Astyanax mexicanus: one gene and its partners. The protein of the gene in region 1 interacts with the protein of each later gene in a pairwise test. Links are inferred from orthologs where the notes say so. Each region holds a gene or a part of one and is shown in the gene's direction. Other genes may lie near its edges.

Evidence for each region. The genes of interacting proteins can lie anywhere in the genome.
Region 2: the proteins of wdyhv1 (region 1) and ribose-phosphate pyrophosphokinase 2 interact in binary tests that used the Homo sapiens proteins (3 or more experiments, as listed by UniProt). The two-hybrid records come from large-scale screens. The link is inferred for Astyanax mexicanus from reciprocal best matches to the Homo sapiens genes NTAQ1 and PRPS2.
Region 3: the proteins of wdyhv1 (region 1) and c24h1orf50 interact in binary tests that used the Homo sapiens proteins (3 or more experiments, as listed by UniProt). The two-hybrid records come from large-scale screens. The link is inferred for Astyanax mexicanus from reciprocal best matches to the Homo sapiens genes NTAQ1 and C1orf50.

What each region holds. Positions count from the first base shown.
Region 1 is NC_064410.1:47,214,012-47,221,039, reverse strand, and holds the start of wdyhv1 (protein N-terminal glutamine amidohydrolase), read left to right. Parts: upstream 1-3,999; 5' UTR 4,000-4,134; coding exon 4,135-4,217; intron 4,218-6,768; coding exon 6,769-6,868; intron 6,869-6,973; coding exon 6,974-7,027; intron 7,028-7,028. UniProt on the Homo sapiens protein: Mediates the side-chain deamidation of N-terminal glutamine residues to glutamate, an important step in N-end rule pathway of protein degradation.
Region 2 is NC_064428.1:22,490,874-22,497,972, reverse strand, and holds the start of ribose-phosphate pyrophosphokinase 2, read left to right. Parts: upstream 1-4,082; 5' UTR 4,083-4,304; coding exon 4,305-4,426; intron 4,427-7,099. Other genes in the region: zgc:64002 (nicotinamide N-methyltransferase), read left to right, coding at 587-1,010. UniProt on the Homo sapiens protein: Catalyzes the synthesis of phosphoribosylpyrophosphate (PRPP) that is essential for nucleotide synthesis.
Region 3 is NC_064431.1:5,846,540-5,853,380, reverse strand, and holds the start of c24h1orf50 (uncharacterized protein C1orf50 homolog), read left to right. Parts: upstream 1-3,824; 5' UTR 3,825-4,026; coding exon 4,027-4,075; intron 4,076-5,803; coding exon 5,804-5,919; intron 5,920-6,005; coding exon 6,006-6,092; intron 6,093-6,206; coding exon 6,207-6,338; intron 6,339-6,841.

The sequences.
Region 1 (7,028 bases):
ATTTCAGAAATCTTGTAGAATGGTTGTAGAATGTGTAGAATGTTTTTCCCCAGATGTTTGTTTTTACTTCAGTTTGCAGGGAGAGATTATTATCTCTGGTCACAGAGCGGCCCGTTTTAGCATTTTCCAGCTTTAATCAATGTGCTTAAAAGTCTAAAATGTGCATGAAATGACACAATTGTCCAGTACTATTGCATAAATTTATTCATTCATTTATATTTGTATTTTTTTTTAAATACATCAGATCATCATCATGTCTGAGAAGGTACTAAAAGTCATTGATCCAATGGGACAAGAAAGTGCCCTAGAAAGAAAAATTCTAAGGAACTGGAGGTAAGATTTTCAGACACATTCCTTTATTAAATACATTGGCACTATCAGATTGGAAGCCACACTGATAACATGCAACTCCAAAAAATTGAAGGAATTTTTTGAAGACTCTGGATCACAAGGACCACAGAGCTGAATGGCGGGTGCTGCCAATGCAGCACAATGTGCAGCAAGACTCCAGCAGCTGTGGAGTATTGGTGTTGAAGGTACATATTATTTTTTGTGTTACTATAATTATGATTGTCAAGTAAATTGTATGAAAAACAATTTTATCATTTCATAACAATGTTATTCTTAAATTTTAGTTTTCTGAAGATTTTCTTCTGAGTGGAGATGTCCGCACACTTCAGACAACACCAGGAGCTGTGAGCAGTGCACGCATGCAAATAGCATGTTCTTTGCTTGAATGCCGTGGTGAGTTTTAGAGTAATGCCGTTTCCATTCTGTAATAAAATGTTCCAACCTGTTGAATTGATCCAGGATGTACATTCTGATAAGGTAATTTAGTTTATAAATCTATGCTACCTACAGCGCTGATGCTGGTAGAACATTCTGATAAGGTAATCTAGTATGTAAAATCACTGATCCTGTAGTATCTTCTGATCATTTATATGCATTGTACTGTTGTCAAATGATTGGCTGCTCAGATTATTACATAATATACACATCTGCATAATGGAGTGCCTTGGCATTTAACCAGGTAAATATTTTTAATAGGGAACGCTGAGGACTACTGCATAATTTGTTCCATGCTGGAAAGTGATGCCGACAAGAGCGTAATCGAAATGGTAATTTTTTTCATGCCAGTAAACTGTATTTAAATCAACACGTCCATTTTTTTGCTTCAGAATAAGTTGTCACACACAGTTCAAGGTCTTAACAGAACAAGGCTAAGGGACAGAGACTATAGGGTTATTTATGCAGGGATTGTTAATGTGTTCTACTTTAATATAAATATAATGTTGTCATAATTTGACAGTTTCATCACAATGGTGAAACTGTCCATATTGGACACTCCAGCATTTTCTTTTGTTCAACTGCACTGTTTTGATTAATGATTTGTGGTTTATTTTCAGGTGCAGTGTGAGCTCTGCAGTAGGTGGGCACACTTTGAGTGTGCACAGTATAACAAGGGAAACAATTACTACTGTACAAAATGTTCAAACAATTAAACTCCCTCTCTCCCTCCCTCTCCCCCCCCTCTCTTCCTCTCCCTCTCCCCCCTCCCCCCTCTCCCCCCTCCCATTTTATTCCACTAAATACGGATTTCTGAACTCTTAAAACATTAATTGTTGAACTTGTTTTCTTTGCATTATTTGAGGTCTAAAAGCCCTGCATCTTTATTTTGTTATTCTGATGATTTCTCTATTTCTACATTTAAATGTTCTAAATGATATTTTTGTTGTGGTTGTTGGAATTTGAGAGAAATGTTGTCAGTAGTTCAGAATAAAACAATGTTAATTTTACTCAAACATTAACCTATAAATAGCAAAATCAGAGAAACTGAACATTTTGAAGTGGTCTCTTGATTTTTTTTGGTAGAACCATAAGGTATTTTGGTCTATAAATCTATCCTACCTACAGTGTAAATGCTGGAAGCACATTCTGATAAGGTAATTTAGTCTATAAATCTATCCTACCTGCAGTACTGATACTGGTAGCGCATTCTGATAAGGTAATTTAGTCTATAAATCTATCCTACCTGCAGTACTGATACTGGTAGCGCATTCTGATAAGGTAATTTAGTCTATAAATCTATCCTACCTGCAGTACTGATACTGGAAGCACAATCTGATAAGGTAATTTAGTCTACAAATCTATCCTACCTACAGTGTAAATGCTGGTAGCACATTCTGATAAGGTAATTTAGTCTACAAATCTATCCTACCTGCAGTACTGATACTGGTAGCACATTCTGATAAGGTAATTTAGTCTATAAATCTATCCTACCTACAGTGTAAATGCTGGTAGCGCATTCTGATAAGGTAATTTAGTCTATAAATCTATCCTACCTGCAGTACTGATACTGGTAGCACATTCTGATAAGGTAATTTAGTCTATAAATCTATCCTACCTACAGTGTAAATGCTGGTAGCACATTCTGATAAGGTAATTTAGTCTATACATCTATCCTACCTACAGTGTAAATGCTGGTAGCGCATTCTGATAAGGTAATTTAGTCTATAAATCTATCCTACCTGCAGTACTGATACTGGTAGCACATTCTGATAAGGTAATTTAGTCTATAAATCTATCCTACCTACAGTGTAAATGCTGGTAGCGCATTCTGATAAGGTAATTTAGTCTATAAATCTATCCTACCTACAGTGTAAATGCTGGTAGCGCATTCTGATAAGGTAATTTAGTCTATAAATCTATCCTACCTACAGTGTAAATGCTGGTAGCGCATTCTGATAAGGTAATTTAGTCTATAAATCTATCCTACCTACAGTGTAAATGCTGGTAGCGCATTCTGATAAGGTAATTTAGTCTATAAATCTATCCTACCTACAGTGTAAATGCTGGTAGCGCATTCTGATAAGGTAATTTAGTCTATAAATCTATCCTACCTACAGTGTAAATGCTGGTAGCGCATTCTGATAAGGTAATTTAGTCTATAAATCTATCCTACCTACAGTGTAAATGCTGGTAGCGCATTCTGATAAGGTAATTTAGTCTATAAATCTATCCTACCTACAGTGTAAATGCTGGTAGCGCATTCTGATAAGGTAATTTAGTCTATAAATCTATCCTACCTGCAGTACTGATACTGGTAGCACAATCTGATAAGGTAATTTAGTCTATAAATCTATCCTACCTGCAGTACTGATACTGGTAGCACATTCTGATAAGGTAATTTAGTCTATAAATCTGTCCTACCTACAGTGTAAATGCTGGTAGCACATTCTGATAAGGTAATTTAGTCTATAAATCTATCCTACCTGCAGTACTGATACTGGTAGCACATTCTGATAAGGTAATTTAGTCTATAAATCTGTCCTACCTACAGTGTAAATGCTGGTAGCGCATTCTGATAAGGTAATTTAGTCTATAAATCTATCCTACCTGCAGTACTGATACTGGTAGCACATTCTGATAAGGTAATTTAGTCTATAAATCTGTCCTACCTACAGTGTAAATGCTGGTAGCGCATTCTGATAAGGTAATTTAGTCTATAAATCTATCCTACCTACAGTGTAAATGCTGGTAGCACAATCTGATAAGGTAATTTAGTCTATAAATCTATCCTACCTGCAGTACTGATACTGGTAGCACATTCTGATAAGGTAATTTAGTCTATAAATCTATCCTACCTACAGTGTAAATGCTGGAAGCACATTCTGATAAGGTAATTTAGTCTATAAATCTATCCTACCTACAGTGTAAATGCTGGTAGCGCATTCTGATAAGGTAATTTAGTCTATAAATCTATCCTACCTGCAGTACTGATACTAGTAACGCATTCTGATAAGGTAATTTCGTCACTGGAGTAAGCAGAAAGGGTAAAAAACACGTGCTTTATTACTTTATAGGCGAGTTACTGCCCCTTTAAGAAATGCGCTGTGCGGTAGGACATTTCGACGCGGTAGCACAATCCGACAGCTATGTCTATAAAAATGCGCTACGGTAGCACAATCTGATAAGGTAGCACAGATTTTCAGAACACCGGACTAAAGAACTGTAGCACACTGTGTACAGATGGGCTGGGCGGCTGTATATGTGTTTGTTAAGGAGTTTTCTCTGTTTATAATGATCATCTCCGATCAGTAGTGTTTAATTTAGTGTAATATAAGCGCTGAGAACATGGTAGAAGAGGAGGGCGCGTCTCCAGAATACACAGTGATCGCTCCGCCGCGGCAGGAATGTGTGTATACGAGCTGCTACTGGTACTGATCTCTCTCACACTCATTTTCTCATTCATTCAGTCATTCAGACGCTAATTCACTAACAATAACTGTGAATTATCGCTGTGGGACTGGAGAAAGCTGACAGTTAAATGCTCTGCATTGTTTATATTACTGAGGTACTTCACCTGAATTAGCTTTTCAATCTGCAAAACTTCGAGTTACATTTTTTTTTCTAATGCATTTTAATCCCAACGTGATTTTAATGTTGTCTGATAATCCCTATCAAATCAATTATATTTAGCTTAGTGAGCATAAATGTATTACATTTATTAAAGTTATTAAGGCCATGCTCTCTAGAGATGAAAACTAATAAATGATTATAAATAAATGAATAAGTCTTAAACAATTTTTCATTTGTTTTGATTAGTCTTCATTTTGTTTTGTTTAGAAAACAAACAGGATTTTTATTTTTTATTTTTTTATCTTTCCTGATTATATACACCGTATACAATGTGTTACAAATATACTGATATTAAATATAATGTAATATAATGATTTTCTTATGAAAAAACATAATTAACTTAATTAGTTCTTGTTGGGAATATTGTTAGAAAACAGACAATTTTGTGTTAATGTTGTATGTTTGCTGAGTTAAGTGTTGGCTCTATATTTTGCAGAATATCTTAAAAGGCTTTTTATCTTTTAGTTTTCAGTAATGGGTTCATGGGTGAACATTTAAATACCCAAACCTAATGAAATATATTTTTCATTACTAAATGTTTATTTGTATGCATCATTAATTCAAAACATCCTAAAGCACTCAGTATAGAACACATTTAACTGACAGCAGTTAACTAACAGGCTCTACTTACAAAGCATTATTAAAATTAACGGGAAATTAAACCACAGGTAAACATAAGTATTGATTTCAAAATATATCAGGAATGTAAAAAATGTAAAATTTATTACTGAAAATAAAGGCGACGAGTCAGCATACAGAGAGGAGGTGCAGCGGCTGACAGACTGGTGTACAGTCAACAACCTTCACCTGAATGTGGACAAGACAAAGGAAATGGTTGTTGACTTCAGGAGAGCACAACACACCCACTCTCCACTCAACATCGACGGGTCCTCTGTGGAGATTGTTAAGAGCACCAAGTTCCTTGGTGTCCACTTAGCAGATAACCTCACCTGGACCCTGAACACCAGCTCTACAGCCAAGAAAGCCCAGCAGCGTCTCTACTTCCTCCGGAAGCTGAGAAAGGCCCGTCTCCCTCCACCCATCCTCACACTCTTCTATAGAGGGACCATTGAGAGCATCTTGAGCAGCTGCATCACTGCCTGGTTTGGGACCTGCACCGTCTCTGACCGCAAGACCCTCCAGCGTATTGTGAGGACAGCTGAGAGGATCATCGGCGTCTCTCTCCCCTCCATCACGGACATTTACACCACCCGCAGCATCCGCAAAGCAACCAGCATTGTGAATGACCCCACTCATCCCTCACACGAACTATTCTCCCTCCTGCCTTCGGGAAGAAGGTACCGCAGCATCCGGTCCAGCACGACCAGATTCTGCAACAGCTTCTACCCCCAAGCCATCAGACTCCTTAACTGCAGAGACTGAACTGATGGTTTTTCTGTACATGCACACACACTCTTACCCCACTTACCCCAGAAAATGGAAAGCACTAAAAACCCTACTACCTCACTGGACTCTATTGCACACTGTGTAATAGAGTAATTACTACCTCACCTGGTCTTTTTTGCACACTGCAAAATTTGCACACTGTCTTGTTATTTATTATTCTTTGTCTGTATTGTGTTGTATTGTCTGTCTGCACTTTTGTACTGTTGCACTATTGTTCTGTCTACACTGTGTTTATGTGCACCATGGTCCTTGGAGGAAAGTTGTTTCGTTTCACTGTGTACTCTGTATATAGCTGAAATGACCAAAAAAAAAACACTTTGACTTTGAAGTGCATGTGATATCAGTATTTCTTATAAAGGAAATTATTTTAAAAACTCTCTTTAAATGTATCGTAATATTTCTTGCTGTGGAATATGCTGTTGTAAAGAAATAACTTATGTATAACTTTTATGTTATTAAATGTATTTTCAGCAATGGTCGCAAAGTCCATTTTTATATCTTATAAAGAGTGTTAGTTCTTACAGAGAGGCTTTATTCTTGAACATTATGTATCTGTGGATGTGGCAGTGCCAACTTGTTCTTTTTTCAATTTTTCAATTACTTAGGCTGTTAATATGCATTATGCATAGTCTCAAATATATGTTGATGCAAAAACCTTGTCTCTCTGTTTTTGCCATGTTTCTCTTTTTGAAACTGTAAATTTAGCAGGTGTTATGTTAATTCCAGATTCCATGATAAATGGACCAGTATAAATGCTCCAAAATTACTTGAAATATTTGATTGAAATATTTGATGTTTTACATTAACTCCATTGAATGTCTTGTGTAAAGTTTTAATGATTGAGATACACATTTTATTTTCTGGACAGCGATGATGTGTATGTTGTCATGTCATTTGTGTGTCTGCTATTAACTTAGTGAAAGTCTTTGTTTTATTCTACAGTGAGGAGAATGTTTGGAAATTGTGTGAATATATTAAGGACCAGGAGACCTGTCCAGTGGATGAGGTGTATGCAGTTTTTATATCCAATGAAAAAAGAACTGTGAGTGCTCTGTTAAAATGTAATGAGAGTATATAACTGAGGCTGTTTGTGTTTTTTTTTTTACTGTTTTGATATTGGTTTTGTTGTACTTGTTCTGTTTTGCAGATCCCTATTTGGAAACAAAAAGCCAGTAGGGGAGGGGATGAGCCGGTGATCTGGG
Region 2 (7,099 bases), on another chromosome or scaffold:
TCCTGGTGCAAAAATTCAAGCAGTCCAGCTTGGTATGATGGTTTGTGATTATCCATCTTCCTCTTGATTATATTCCAGAGGTTTTCAATAAGGTAAAATTAAAAAAACTCATCATATAAGTGATCTCTTATTTTTTTTTCAGATCTGTATTGGTTATGGTGCTGATGACACAATACATAATACATATTTCTGGATAAACTCAAAATCTCCTGACACTTTCCATGTTCTGCCTGTGTGGGTTTTCCCCCTAAAGTCCAAAAACATGGAGAGCAGGTTAACTGTATACTCAAAATTGCCCTGAATAATAATAAAGTAATGTGTAATTTGGGATAAACATATTTTTTGTGGTGTGTTGATGTCTTTATTTATGAGGTGCTCCTAAAGTATCATTGCTCCACACTGGCCAGCGTGCCAATGCAAGTGTGAATGGAAAATTTCCATTTATAAAATTATCCACATACATAAAATTATGGACAGAGCCTAAGACCTAAAAATTGGGATTAAAAAAAGCCCAATGTCAACAGCTTACTCCCAGCTTAACTTATCTATCTAGCTAACTAACTGTTCTGTTAAACTCTTCCTACAGCCCATCAGAAGTGGAAGCTAAAATAAGGCAAAGGGTGAAACACATCCTGAAGTGCGACGTCCGGCTGGAAAATCCATTCCACCCTGAAAACCTGAAGCCAGCAGACTGCGTGATAACATCCCTGTGTCTTGAGGCGGCCTGCAAAGACATGCAAGCGTATAAAAAGGCGCTAGCTGGACTGGCCTCACTGCTTCGTCCTAATGGAGCTCTAGTGATGGTGGGAGTTTTAGGGGAGAGTTTTTATGTCGTTAACCAAACCCGCTTCTCCTGTCTGCCGCTAACCGAGCAGAATATTAAAGAATACCTCAAGGATGTTGGCTTTACTGTTCATGAGTTTGAAATCTTTTCTGGACCCAAGCCAGAGAACAACGAGGTGTCCGATTATGAAGCTGTTTTTCAGCTGGTGGCTCTGAAAACTTCCTGATCTGTTGGCCTGCCTTTGTAACGGTCACTGCCACCAACACACTTTTGAGATTATCATCATAATTTTCTTCAATTTAAAGTGAAATAACCTTTAACAATAAAAATATCCAAAATAATAGACAAAAAGTGGTGCAATTTGCAGCCTTTTGGATTTCTTTTTATTTCTGCATAAATATGACCTAAAATGTAAGTGCTAAAACCAGATAAGGAGAACCTAATCAAACAAATTACAAAAATATTAGACATGTTCAATTATTAAATGTTAAATGATAAAAGAGGTTCTTCTAGCCTTTAGGATAACAATAAGCAGCCCTCTGTGGCATGATGTTGCCCTTAGATAACAGACCACTTTTATGATTACATTATTCCTTAATTTTGTTACATGTAAAGAATTGCGATTAAAATCTTTAAAAGCCTATTCTGTTTTGTTTTATTTTTTTTCAATGATTCTCCATCATCTGTATTTCAAATGTTTTATATACTTGACGTGCAGCATCAGATACCAGGGTGATGCTTTATTTTTTAGATATGAAAAAAAAAAAAATTAAAAGTGAATTTCAGTTACATAATAGCAAAGTGAAATAAAATAAATTTATGTTCAGTCAAAGTCCATCGGCACAACCCTAATTCAAGATTTCACAATGGTCTACATAATGCCTAAGAAGCTATGAGATTAATGACTAGTGTCCACACACCGGACTCTCCCTGCCTCATTATGCCCACCATGTATCTAAGCAGATTCATAAACAAAATGTTTAATTTTAACATTTTGTTTTCAGAATTACATCATCCAATGGGAATTGTTAATCATAGTTCCCAACTTTTTTCATAAATTTTGCTGCAGACTCTATGAAAATACATAAATCTAAAAAAAAAAAAAACTTTTTACCTCTTGTCCTAAATCAATGTCCCCCGAATTTCCACATAATCTGCTTTAGCCATCATCACAGTTCCTACTAGAACAAGAGGAACAAAGTGCTAGATGCTAGTTTACCTTTTAAACTTTATTTTGACAATGTTATTTAAATAGCATTTTTTAATCTAAAAAAATATTACACGAGTTAGACCTTCTCTTAAACTAGAAGATGAAGCGCAGAGAAACGGGTCAAAGAGTCTAAAAGCGGAGAGAGTGCGCATTTATAGCGCAGAGAAACGGGACCAAAGAGTCTAAAAGCGAAGAGAGTGCGCATTTCTAGCGCAGAGAAACGGGTCAAAGAGTCTAAAAGCGGAGAGAGTGCGCATTTATAGCGCAGAGAAACGGGACCAAAGAGTCTAAAAGCGAAGAGAGTGCGCATTTCTAGCGCAGAGAAACGGGCCAAAGAGTCTAAAAGCGGAGAGGGTGCGCATAGTTGCCGTAATTAAATAGTTTAATATTAAGAGACATCATGAAATTAAACATCAGTTTGAAAAATCTTAGTTTACACAACACTGTCAAAGACAAAGATAGTAAGTCAAGCAAAATGGTGTGTAAATGAAAGTAATCAGGAAAAAAGTATTATTTAAAGTGGTATTATTCATTATTTGTTTTATTACAGAGTGTGGCCCGTGACTTCAAATATATTTCTCCTTCTGGCCCCCAAAAAAAAAAAGTTTGGACACCCCTGCTCTAGTCAGTGCTCATCCTCTGTAAACCGTTTAGAGGGAAATTACTTGTTTTCCGTTTGTTCAACAATGCTTGACTAATAATGGACAAATACAGGGCTATGTGGTTGCTATGGCAATGTTTTTTTTTTTAAATCTATGGGCTGAAGTGGTATTGCTAAATGTTATTTGTTAAAGGCCATTCTTTTCACTTTTTCAGTTTGAAAAAGTAAAAAAAATATTCTAAATATATATTCTTTGCATCTGTAAATTACCTGCAAAAATAAAATGTTATAATTCGACTAAGCTTGTTGACTTATACACTTGCACAGTCATGTAAGTGACAAAGATTCCTGGATACATTAATTTTAGTGCAAGTAAATAATTTATATCTTACTCTATTTATTAATTTTTCCAACTTAAATTATGAACTGAATTTAATTATAAAATAAACTTTTAAATTTTTGCTGGAAAACACTTTAAAATAGAAGAAACCTCACTTTTTTATTCCCAAATGGAAAGACAAACCTTTGAGCCACCACCAGATAAATTTAGCAGAAAAAAAGTACTGAAAAAAAACAAACAAACAAATAAAGTATCAAAAGGCAAATGAGAAAACCTGGTCTCATGTCTCTGTTGCAGCTCAGGCTAAAGGGCGACTCTGCAGCGCTGATGGGCTGCTGGGCGTCTCGGTGCTCAATGCAGCTTACACTCTGACAGCAGCGACTCCAACAGGACAATCACAACAGGGTGGGCTGGAGGCTACGGGACCAGTTCTGTAACACTGAATCACAGCAGGTTAGGTAAGGATGCAGTCCAGCTATCGACCGACAGCTAGACCCAACACAGTCTCTCATCCAAAACTCTCCTGGTGAAACAATTCAGTTTAGTACTTGTAAGTATAAAGAAGAGACACATACAGGTCACAAACCTAAAACAGTGCTTATTTCTTGCTTTAAAATTAATCCATAAATCACTTCCAGGAAGACATTTATAATTAAACTAATAAAAAGACCTAAACCTGCTGGCCTGTTTCTGAATTAATGGCTCAGTACAGCTTTGCAAATTTCTCTGCTTCTGCAGATGTGCTGAATCAGCTGTCCCTGAGAACAAAACTTTAAATACTTACATACAGTTTTATATGAATAGTGTATAATATTATGTATTTTGTTGTTATTTGTTTTTTCATTGCTCATTTATTATTATTATTATTATTATTATTATTATTATTATTATTATTATTATTATTATTATTATTATTACCTATCATTTACACATTTGCAATAACTCGCATAAATAATTACAGGAGTTTCGGTTGTTTAATTCACCCAAATAGAAAAGAATTACCGTATAAAAAGAAAAGTAAACTTGCTAAAGTGGTTCCGCGCATGCGCACAGGTGTTGAGAAGCACATTTTGATGGGTAGCACAACTCGACAGAACACCGGCCCTCCCGCCCCTGCTCCTGTTCGTTCTCTTTTGGAGTGACGGGCTCGCTCGTCATTTCCTTTTCGCCCCGGTCTCTCACTCCGTGCAGATCTAGGATGCAGAGCTGCAGTTTTAGATCACTTTAATCTCTAACCTGTCCTCCTCCACCTCCTCCTCTCCTCTCCTCCTCCTCCTCCTCCCCGGCCGAAGTCCGTCTCTCTGTCCGCACAGCGCGCTCTCTTTCTCCGCCTGAGCTCCTCCAGCACCGCCGCCGCCGCGCTGCAGCCATGCCCAACATCGTGCTCTTCAGCGGGAGCTCTCACCACGACCTGTCCCAGAAGGTGGCGGACCGCCTCGGACTGGATCTGGGGAAAGTCATCACTAAGAAGTTCAGTAATCAGGAGACCTGGTAGGTGGCGGATATGTTTATAATAAGTGCTTCATTTACTGTTATTAACTGATTAGCTGGGGAGATTGATCGCTCGCTCTGGTTTTAAACATCTGTCTGTATGAAGTTCAGTAGGCAGGTAGTTCAGTAGTTAGCTCTGGTAGCTAACGCTAACTTTTCCCCTCTGCCCGCCCACATGTGTTTACAGTCCAGACAGACAGTCAGCTTTAGCTATCTAGCCCCTGGTAGCTATAGCTAAAGGATGTTAGCTAGCCTTAGCATTTAGCTGGTTAACTAGATATAGCCAGAAGTTTCAGTAACAATTTTAGTAGTTTGCAAATTTAAGCTCTTTAAAAGCAAACCAGTCAATTTCAGTTAGTTTATCTGTGAATATATCTAATTAGCTAGCTAACTAACTATAAATCTGCTCGGTGAGCTCTGCTTAAGGGTCGCCCAGGCTTCATGTTTATCATTTCAGCCTAGCAGTAACATTTGCAAAGCTAACTAGCTAAGTGGGCTAAAAACTAATAACATTAGCTTAGCATAACGACAGCAGACTACTTCAGAAAATTAACTTTTCTAATTTGTATTAGTGTCAGTAAAAATAGGACTAATTATTGTATTAGTATAGAGTTTGGAACAATTCATAAAACTTTTAAATACTAAAATGTTTTCTTCAGAATAATACATATGTGTAGTAGAATGTATAAGATATAAAACATACATATAAAATATAAATCCACACAAAATGATAATAAAGATCCTACTGTAAAGAAGGATATAGATAAAATACAAACTGCGACATGAAAATATAATATTTTGGCAAGTAAAAGTAGTACTAGTATATATTTTTATTTAGTACAGTTTAGTATTAAAAAAAATATATGATTTCCTTAGAAAATGCACCTTTTCTAGTTTTATCAGTAGAAATAGCAATAGTAGTTTCAGTAGTATATGTTCGGTGCAATACATACAAATCTAAAATACAAACATAGCAAATTGTGATTTCTTCAGAAAATTTTATATTAATTTCAATGAAAGAATCAATAATTGTTATATTGGTATAGTTTTCGGTACAATACCTAAAAGTTTAAATTCTAAGATAAAAAGTTAAGATATAATTTCTATTTTTTTTTGTATTAGTAAAAGTAGTAGTAATAGTTGCAGTAGTATATATTTTAGTATGATACCTAAATATATAAAATACAAACTACAACATGAAAATATAATATTTTGGAAAGTAAAAGTAATAATAAATAATACTATTTTAGTACAGTACATACAGTATAAAATACACAAAAAGGAAAAGAAAATTCTCTAGTTTTAAATGTAGAAGTAGCACTGATAGTTGAGGTAGTATAAATTTACAATACAAAAATATCTATTATAAAAACATAACAAATTGTGTTTTCAGGAAATTAACTTTTCTCTTTTTTTATTAATATCAGTAAAAGTATGAATAATGGTTGTATTAGTATATAGTTATTAGTATGTGTATGTTACTTAGTTACTGTTTTTTTAGCCACTGTATAGCTAAAGCTAGGCGATACATCAATATAGGTGTATTAAGGATATTGTCAGTGCTTAAATGACACTGACCCAACTGTACATTTCATTACAAATACATTTAGGCTAAAAACTCCTGTTACGTCCATCACACCTGTGGTTTAACTAGGAGCCTAGTGCATGCCAAATCTTTCATGATTAACATTTTAATTTAACATAACAGTCGTTCTAGCTTTTAGAAAAATGTGTTTGGGGGAGGAGGGTGGTGCACTATAGGCTACTGTAGTAGCTTTTATACTTAAAAAGTTTTAAGTAGTTTTAAGTAGTTTTGAGACCAGTACATTTACATTTTTACTTGAGTTGATACATTAACTTCTGCACAAGTATTTTTAAATCCTAGTATCTATACTTCTAGTAATGAAACTGATAGCAGCAGTAGTGTTCCTGAGTAGGGAGAGGGCAAAATATATAGTAAAAGGCATCAGTGTGCTTCTGCCATTGTTCCTGCAAAGACACATTTATTCATTTAAAAAACAGGGTGCCTGGTAGGTTCCTTTTTCTGGCTGTGGCAGCTTTTGCTGCTTTTCATGAGCAAACATTGTGCTGCTAATTGTCACTAAAATTACCAGATTTATTCATTCTGAATGGTGACTGCACCACAATGCATGTTTAAAAAGTATGTTTTAAGCATAATCTGTGCAATTACACATTCTCACCAAAAACTGAAGAGCCAAGCTATATATATATATATAGTTGCGTTAACTGCTTAATTACTGTTCTTTGTTATTTTTTAGCCCAACCAGTTCCTTATTAGTGATCCTTATTTCTGGGATGTATTGTGGGTAAAACATTCTCCTTCAGGTCATGCATCTGTATCTAAATGGGCGTTGATGGTAGTCAGAACTTGTTTTCTTAAGCTTCCACATCATGGATGTCATATATTGCTGGTCTTATTTACTCCTCTAAAACATTTTGATGCCTTTTTGAATTAATTGTTCTTTCAATGATTGCAAAGCATTCAGGCAGTCCTGAGGCAGTAAAGCAGCCACATGCCTTAATGCTCCCCCACCATGTTTTACAGTTGGAATAATTTTTTTATGTTTGTGTTCGTTGTTCTTTTCCTCAACATGTAGTGTAATGGGTCTTAGATAAAGTCTGTTTTCTCACCTGTACATACATTATATCAGT
Region 3 (6,841 bases), on another chromosome or scaffold:
TGCTACTGCTGCAGACTGGAGTCACCACATCCACATCCACATCCACAGCTCTGCCCTGGATGGGGGAAGGTTTTGCTGGAGGTGGAGTCACTTCTGGAGCCACTGCTAACCCCCTGCCTGGTCCTGTTGATCCCCATCTACTGTAGGCCACATGCCCCCAGTAACTGTTGGAACTTTATAAGTGTGACTTTTTTCCCTACGTTGTAAAAAATTACTGAAGTCATCCAGACTGTGATGAAACACATAATAAATCATGTAGAAACTTATAGAAAAGTGTTAAACAAACCAAAAAGATAGATAGATAGATAGATAGATAGATAGATAGATAGATAGATAGATAGATAGATAGATAGACAGATACTTTATTTATCCCTAAGGAAATTAAGGCATCCAGCAGCAACCACACAATACAATAAGAAACATATTCAAATATAAATTAAAACAAAGAAGAATAGAAAATATATAAGGCTATGAAAAAAAACTTACTACACAAGGTAAATATATATCTGTAAACAGAACAGTGCAGTAGATGTTGCTAATGGTGATTAAATAATTAACAGAGCAAAGTGCAATGTGCAATGACATTGATTATGAAAGTGACTGATGTGACAGAGAAATATAATATAAATATGCATCTGTAACAAATATAGTTCTAAAAAGAGAATATAAAATGATCTAGGGAACTGTTAACTTGTGGTTTCTGATGCTGGTAACTCTGATGAACTTATCCTGTTGCAAACTCTTTCTCTTTCTTTCCTGGGGCTGTCCGGATGAGAGCCAGTTTCATCATAACAATTTTAACAGTCTTTTTGACTGCACTAGAGGATAGTCTATATCAACTCTACCTCTTCACAACTTTACAACTGATGTGCTTAAACACATTAAGAGGCAAGCAATTCAAGTAATAAAGTTTTGTCAAGTTCAGCACAGCTGTTAACTGAAAGCCATTCCAGGTATCTCATAAAGCTGACTGAGAAAATGTTCAAAGCTGTCATCTACTTTGAAGAATGTAAAATATAAAACATATTCTGGTTTGTTTAACACTTTTTTGTTTACTAAATAATTTAATGTGTGTATTTATAATTTTAATTACTTTATTATTAGTCCACAATGCAGAACATTTAAATAATGAAAAACCACTAAATTTAAGGTGTGTCTAAACTTTTGACTGGTCCTGTACATCCAGACTTCTTGATTGAAACAAAATGAATTAAATGATAAAATAACAGCACAATATTTCAGGGTATTTTTGTGATAATGATATTCTTTGCTAAATAAAAGCAATATATAAATTCATTTCAAGAATGTATCATTGCAACAAAATTAACATAAATATGTTTTTTTTTTATAAATATAACAGTCTATAATAATACTTATTTTTTATTACTTACTTATTTTTGCTGTCCACCACTGAAAATAATTAGATCTTCAACAGAGGCCATATAATTCCAAGGGACAAAATCAACCCCAACCCAATCACTTCACACACTCCCATTTGGCAAATATAGGGCTGCCATGTTACTGAATAGCTAATATCCCCAGGCCATTCGATTTTTAAACGACTCCCAAACAGTGACCCTCCCCATAACAACACCTTTACTTACAACTGGCAAGGAATGTGGTGGCTTTTCTCTGCAACACCACCCCCACATCCCTATTTCCTCAGATGGCTGCTATAAATGAGAATAATCATACTGGTTTAAGTTGACAGGAAGGGTACTTTGTGTATATCATTTATATAACCACCCTGTACTACTGTGTTGAGCAGCTCAGTGACTCTACAGTGTCAATGATTATAAGCAAAATTATAAAAAAGCTATAAACTATCAAACCAAAAATGATTCATTTAGTTTTTCTTGGATCTAATGTCATGTCTGAGGTAGATTATACTGGTAACCACTGTAAAATGAGTGTCACTGACTGTATCAACATTTTGTGTTTTTACAATGTGTTTACACCTTGTAACCAGCTTTAATTTAAATTTACTACAGAGAAATTGCACAGCACATGGGCCTTAGATAGGCCCCTAAAAGGATTAAGGTGGGTTGTAATTTCTGGGCCCATTTCTGAAGAATTGAATGAAAGTACATTACATTCTTAAATGCACTCAGGTAAAAAAAAAAGTAAATATTAGAATGAAAGAAATATATTATATCAACAAATTATTAATTCCAAATTTATGAAAAACAAAAAAAAAAACATTAATACACTATTCAATTTAAGATACATTTAATTGAAGTATACACAATGCATATCCATATACTTTTGTCAACTTTAAGCATGTGTATACCCCAAACGTTTTATTGTAAGGTATTTTTTAAAGACATTAATTAAAAATAAGTTCAAAAAAGGAATAATAAATCGAATAAATTCCTCTGTAAAAAATAACTACATTTCCCAGCAACCCATTGCGGTTTCCGTCTTTTTCAACTGCCTGATCGAGTATTCTTATGATTTACTAGAATAAACATTTTCTCACATTTAAAGCACTTGTAAAGCTTTACAAAATATCTAAATAAGTTTAAAGACAAAAAATATAACATATAGCTACATTTACCTAAATCAGTGACTACTTTTTTCAGTCACTTATAAAATCGCTTAGATTTCTAGACAGGCACTCTGAGAGAAGGAGGCGGTAAGGACCTCTAAAAACGCCCCTTTAGAGCTGGTTTATAAGGAGACTGTCCACCTTATATCTCCGCCGTAATATCAGAAAATGACTGGAACCGCTAGAGGGAGCCTTCGAAGGAGTTCAAAATAAATGGGGTGAATGGAGCTAATCGGCTAAAACCTTCAAATTAAAAATAGTAACTAACTACTTGGCCAGGATTTTACTTTAGTTGGGGAAAGTATCTTTAATTATTTTGCAAGGAAAGCTAAGAAATCTTACCTGTATATTTTTGTTTTTCTACAGCAAAAGGGTTTTAGATAGTAAAGGTGGTAGCATTACTGCTAATATGAGCTAAACCCTAAACCATATTTTTTCATTAATAGATGAAAGAAGAAATGTGTTCCTTTGAAGCTTTAAAAATGCTTTCCGCCTCTGCAGAATATTTAATGGCATTTTTGCCATAACAATACACTTGGCGAAATGACAAAACACTGAATTAGAAAAATAAAACATTCCAAAAAATACATCACTGCAACAAAATGAAAATTAAATTGTATTATTGCATACAATATAATATGGTACACCCCTAACTGAGATAATAAAGAATACAAGAATTTTATCAGGTTTTTAACAGAGGTCAATGATGCAGAATGTCATGATACTAATAATGCACTCCAAATATCTCCATATGTAATGGATAACGAGAACATTGTGCTTTTTTTTTTTTTTGCTAAAAACAGTAAAAAAAGTAGTAGCCTAATGTGATGATTAGGGGAGGGTCATTATTCTAAGATACGTTATTTTGAGATAGCAAGTCATTATTTTGAGATACTAAGTATTTTTTTTTTAGATACTAAGTATTTTAAAAAAAAAATAGTGAGTCATTATTTTGAGATAGCTAGTATGTTTGCTTTGGGAAAAAAACGTTTTTTTCTTTCAAAATAATGACTTACTATCACAAAAAAATTAAATACTATCAACAAAATAATGAGAAAGTATCACAAAATAATGAGATAGTATCTCAAAATAATGAGATAGTATCTCAAAATAATAACCTAATATCTCAAAATAATAAGATAGCAATTTCCTTAATAATCATTTTAAAATGTGCTGGATTATTTTTTTTTAGGTGGCGGCAATGGGCTTCCGTACTCTCGAGCGCCCTCTGCTGAAAATCCCTGGAGAGATTCTGAAGTGGGTAATCTCCTCTATTAGAGAATCTGTGGCCTCTGTGCGGCTCTCGGCGTGTTTTACCGAATCAGGAGTTATTGAGCAGTTATGAAACTTCAGTAACCGAACAGTTACAAAACAGAGGCACTAAACTATCGCACAGCGATCCTCCGCCTCTGCACAGAGAAAACAGAGACACTAAACTACCTCTCAGCACAGCGATCCTCCTTTTCTGCACAGAGAACATGGATAAAACAGTGAGTTTACCCGATCAGCCCAACAAAACCACCACAGGTAAGATCCACAGATCAGCTCTGATCACAGCTGTAACCTGTATTAATATTCAGTAATGCTAATATCCAGCTGCTCAGTTCAACCAGGCAGTTCTGGAATAAACAGTACACGTGTCTCTTTAATACAGAGTAGAGTAGCTCTGATTTTCTGTCTAATAGAAAAGCCTGTCTTACTTGCTATATAACCCTACTAGTGCATCTCTAAATATTAGAATATCATTGAAAAGTTACTTTATTTCAGTAATTCTGTTCAAAATGTAAAATTCATATATTATATTGATGTATTATACACAGATTGATCTATTTTAAGCTTTTTTTTATTTAATTGTTGGTGATTATGTTTTACAGTCAATGAAATTAAACCCCCAAAAAAAACCAAAAATCAGTGCTTTAGAAAATTAAAGTATTATATAAGATCAATTGGTACTTTAGGCAGTGTGGGCAGTGTGCCAAGTCCTGCTGGAAAATAAAATCCGCATCGCCATAAAAGTTGTCAGCAGAGGGAAGCAAGAAGTGCTGTAATGCTGCCTCCAAGTCGTCTCCAAGTCGGGAAAAATGGTATTTACGAGATGAGAGCACACCACAAACTCGTATTTACCAGCTGAAAAACTCGGATTTTCCAAATGGGGGCATGTCAGTAACAACAGGTCAATAAATTGATGCAGACAGTTCATATCGTGAACTGCTTACACTTCTGTTATTGCTACAACACTTCAACTTTTGCAGGTTGTTATAAGCTAACTAATAAAAATCACTAGCATTACGTAATTAAAGGTAAAAATGGGATAAAAACATCTTTCATCTAATGTGTGTCTTAAGCCCTATCCGGACGAGATAAGTTTCTCAGGGGGTTCTGGGGTAATTTTCTCTTTTATTGGGGTCTTCTGTGATTTTATTCCCATCCAGAGCGACCATGTATGTTTTTTTTTTCCAAAGTTCTCTGAGAAAATTACAGTCTGAATTATCTACTGTATTTCACTGAACTCCATAGTCCTCCGCTAATTTTAGTCCACATCTCTGGGTTTCGTCACCTCGCGTTTTATAAAATAGCTATTTGTCCACTGCCGCGCACCGTAATTACACTTTGAGAACGCGTTTCCACGGAGATCCACGTAAACACAACAGCGAGTGGAAATGGAGGAGCTACTGAACGTGATGTCGTGACAAAGAAAGCCAAAAAACTCACTGGTCATTCTGTTTTTTTTTTAATTGCAGTCTGGATACAAGAGTTTTATCACTGAGTAGAAGTGTGAAATACATTCTCTTAGAGTAGGGCAAAATAAATCTAGTTTATTAATATAATAGACCAAAATTTTTAACATAAGTATTTTCCTAATGGCGTCCATTTGCACCTGACCTTTTCCGGGAAAACACTGCACTGGCTTTGGACTTTGGACCTGATTTTTGACACAGATTTTTGGGATTTAATTGGCTGTAAGCCATAACCATCAACAATAAAAGAAATAAGCACTTAAAATAGACCACTCTGTGTGTAATACATCTATATAATATACAAGTTTCACATTTTCAGCTGAATTGCTGAAAACTTTCAATAAGCCCAAAAACATGAATATTATTAAATAAATCTAATTTATTCATAAAAATCTACCAGGTAGTAGTTTATTCATAAAATATATCACATTGTTACTAAATGTATCAAATTTAGAATTTTTAAAATCATTACACAGCTTAAAAATGGTTTTAATATTCGATATGTTTAATGTTTCAGTCACTTTGGTGGAAACCAACAGCAATCCAAGTGGAATGGTTCTGGTTAACACCTACATGACCAATCGAGTCGGAGATCCAATGGACCTTGTTGCTTTGGCGCAGCACGTTCAGAAGGTAAGCAGTGCTTTCAGAGAAAATCTCCTCAATCATACATCACTTTTTCGTCTGTTGTTTAATGTGTTGTTGTTTCTTTTTCCCAGGGTGATGAATTTGTCAGAGCTAACGCTTGTAACAGGTTGACCGTGATTGCTGACCAAATAAGGTACCTGCAGGAACAAGCCAGAAAGGTGATAAAAAAAAATAATTTCTTTGCTTTGATTTATGTTTGTATTTCTGCTACATATGGTCCATTTTAAAGGGTAAAAAATATGGTAAAAGAGCTGAGATTTTTTACATTTTAGGTTTTGGAAGATGCTAAGAGAGATGCTGACCTCCATCACGCAGCCTGCAATGTTGTGAAGAAGCCAGGAAACATGTACTACCTGTACATGCGTGAATCTGGACAGCGCTACTTTTCTATTTTGTCTCCAAAGGTAAGAGTACAAAAATGTGTGTGTATATACACTGACTTGAAAACACCCAAACCTGTATTTGTGAGGTGTTATCTTGTTAGTGAGGCTGAACATTGACCAGCGTGCTCATGGAATTGGAGTGGATGTCATTTCTGAAGAAGGCCGTTTAAGGCCGTTTTCACACTGTACCCAGGACCGATTCTGGGCTTGTTTGGGGGAGGAGCTTATTATTGCTGGTTGGTTTTCACTAGGGGTGGGCGATATGTCCTTAAAATAATATCACGATATTTCATGGTATTATTGCGTTAATGATATTCTTGGCGACATGACAAAATACTGAATTAAAAAAAAAAAAAACATTTCAAAAGTACACTTCTGCAACAATGGCACACCCCTAACTGAGATATAAAAAAAAATACAAGGATTTTTTTAGATTTGTAACAGAAGTCAACGATCCAGACCGTCATGATACTAATAATGCACTTCAAATATCTCAGTATATTCAGGACTGAAGTAAAATGAAT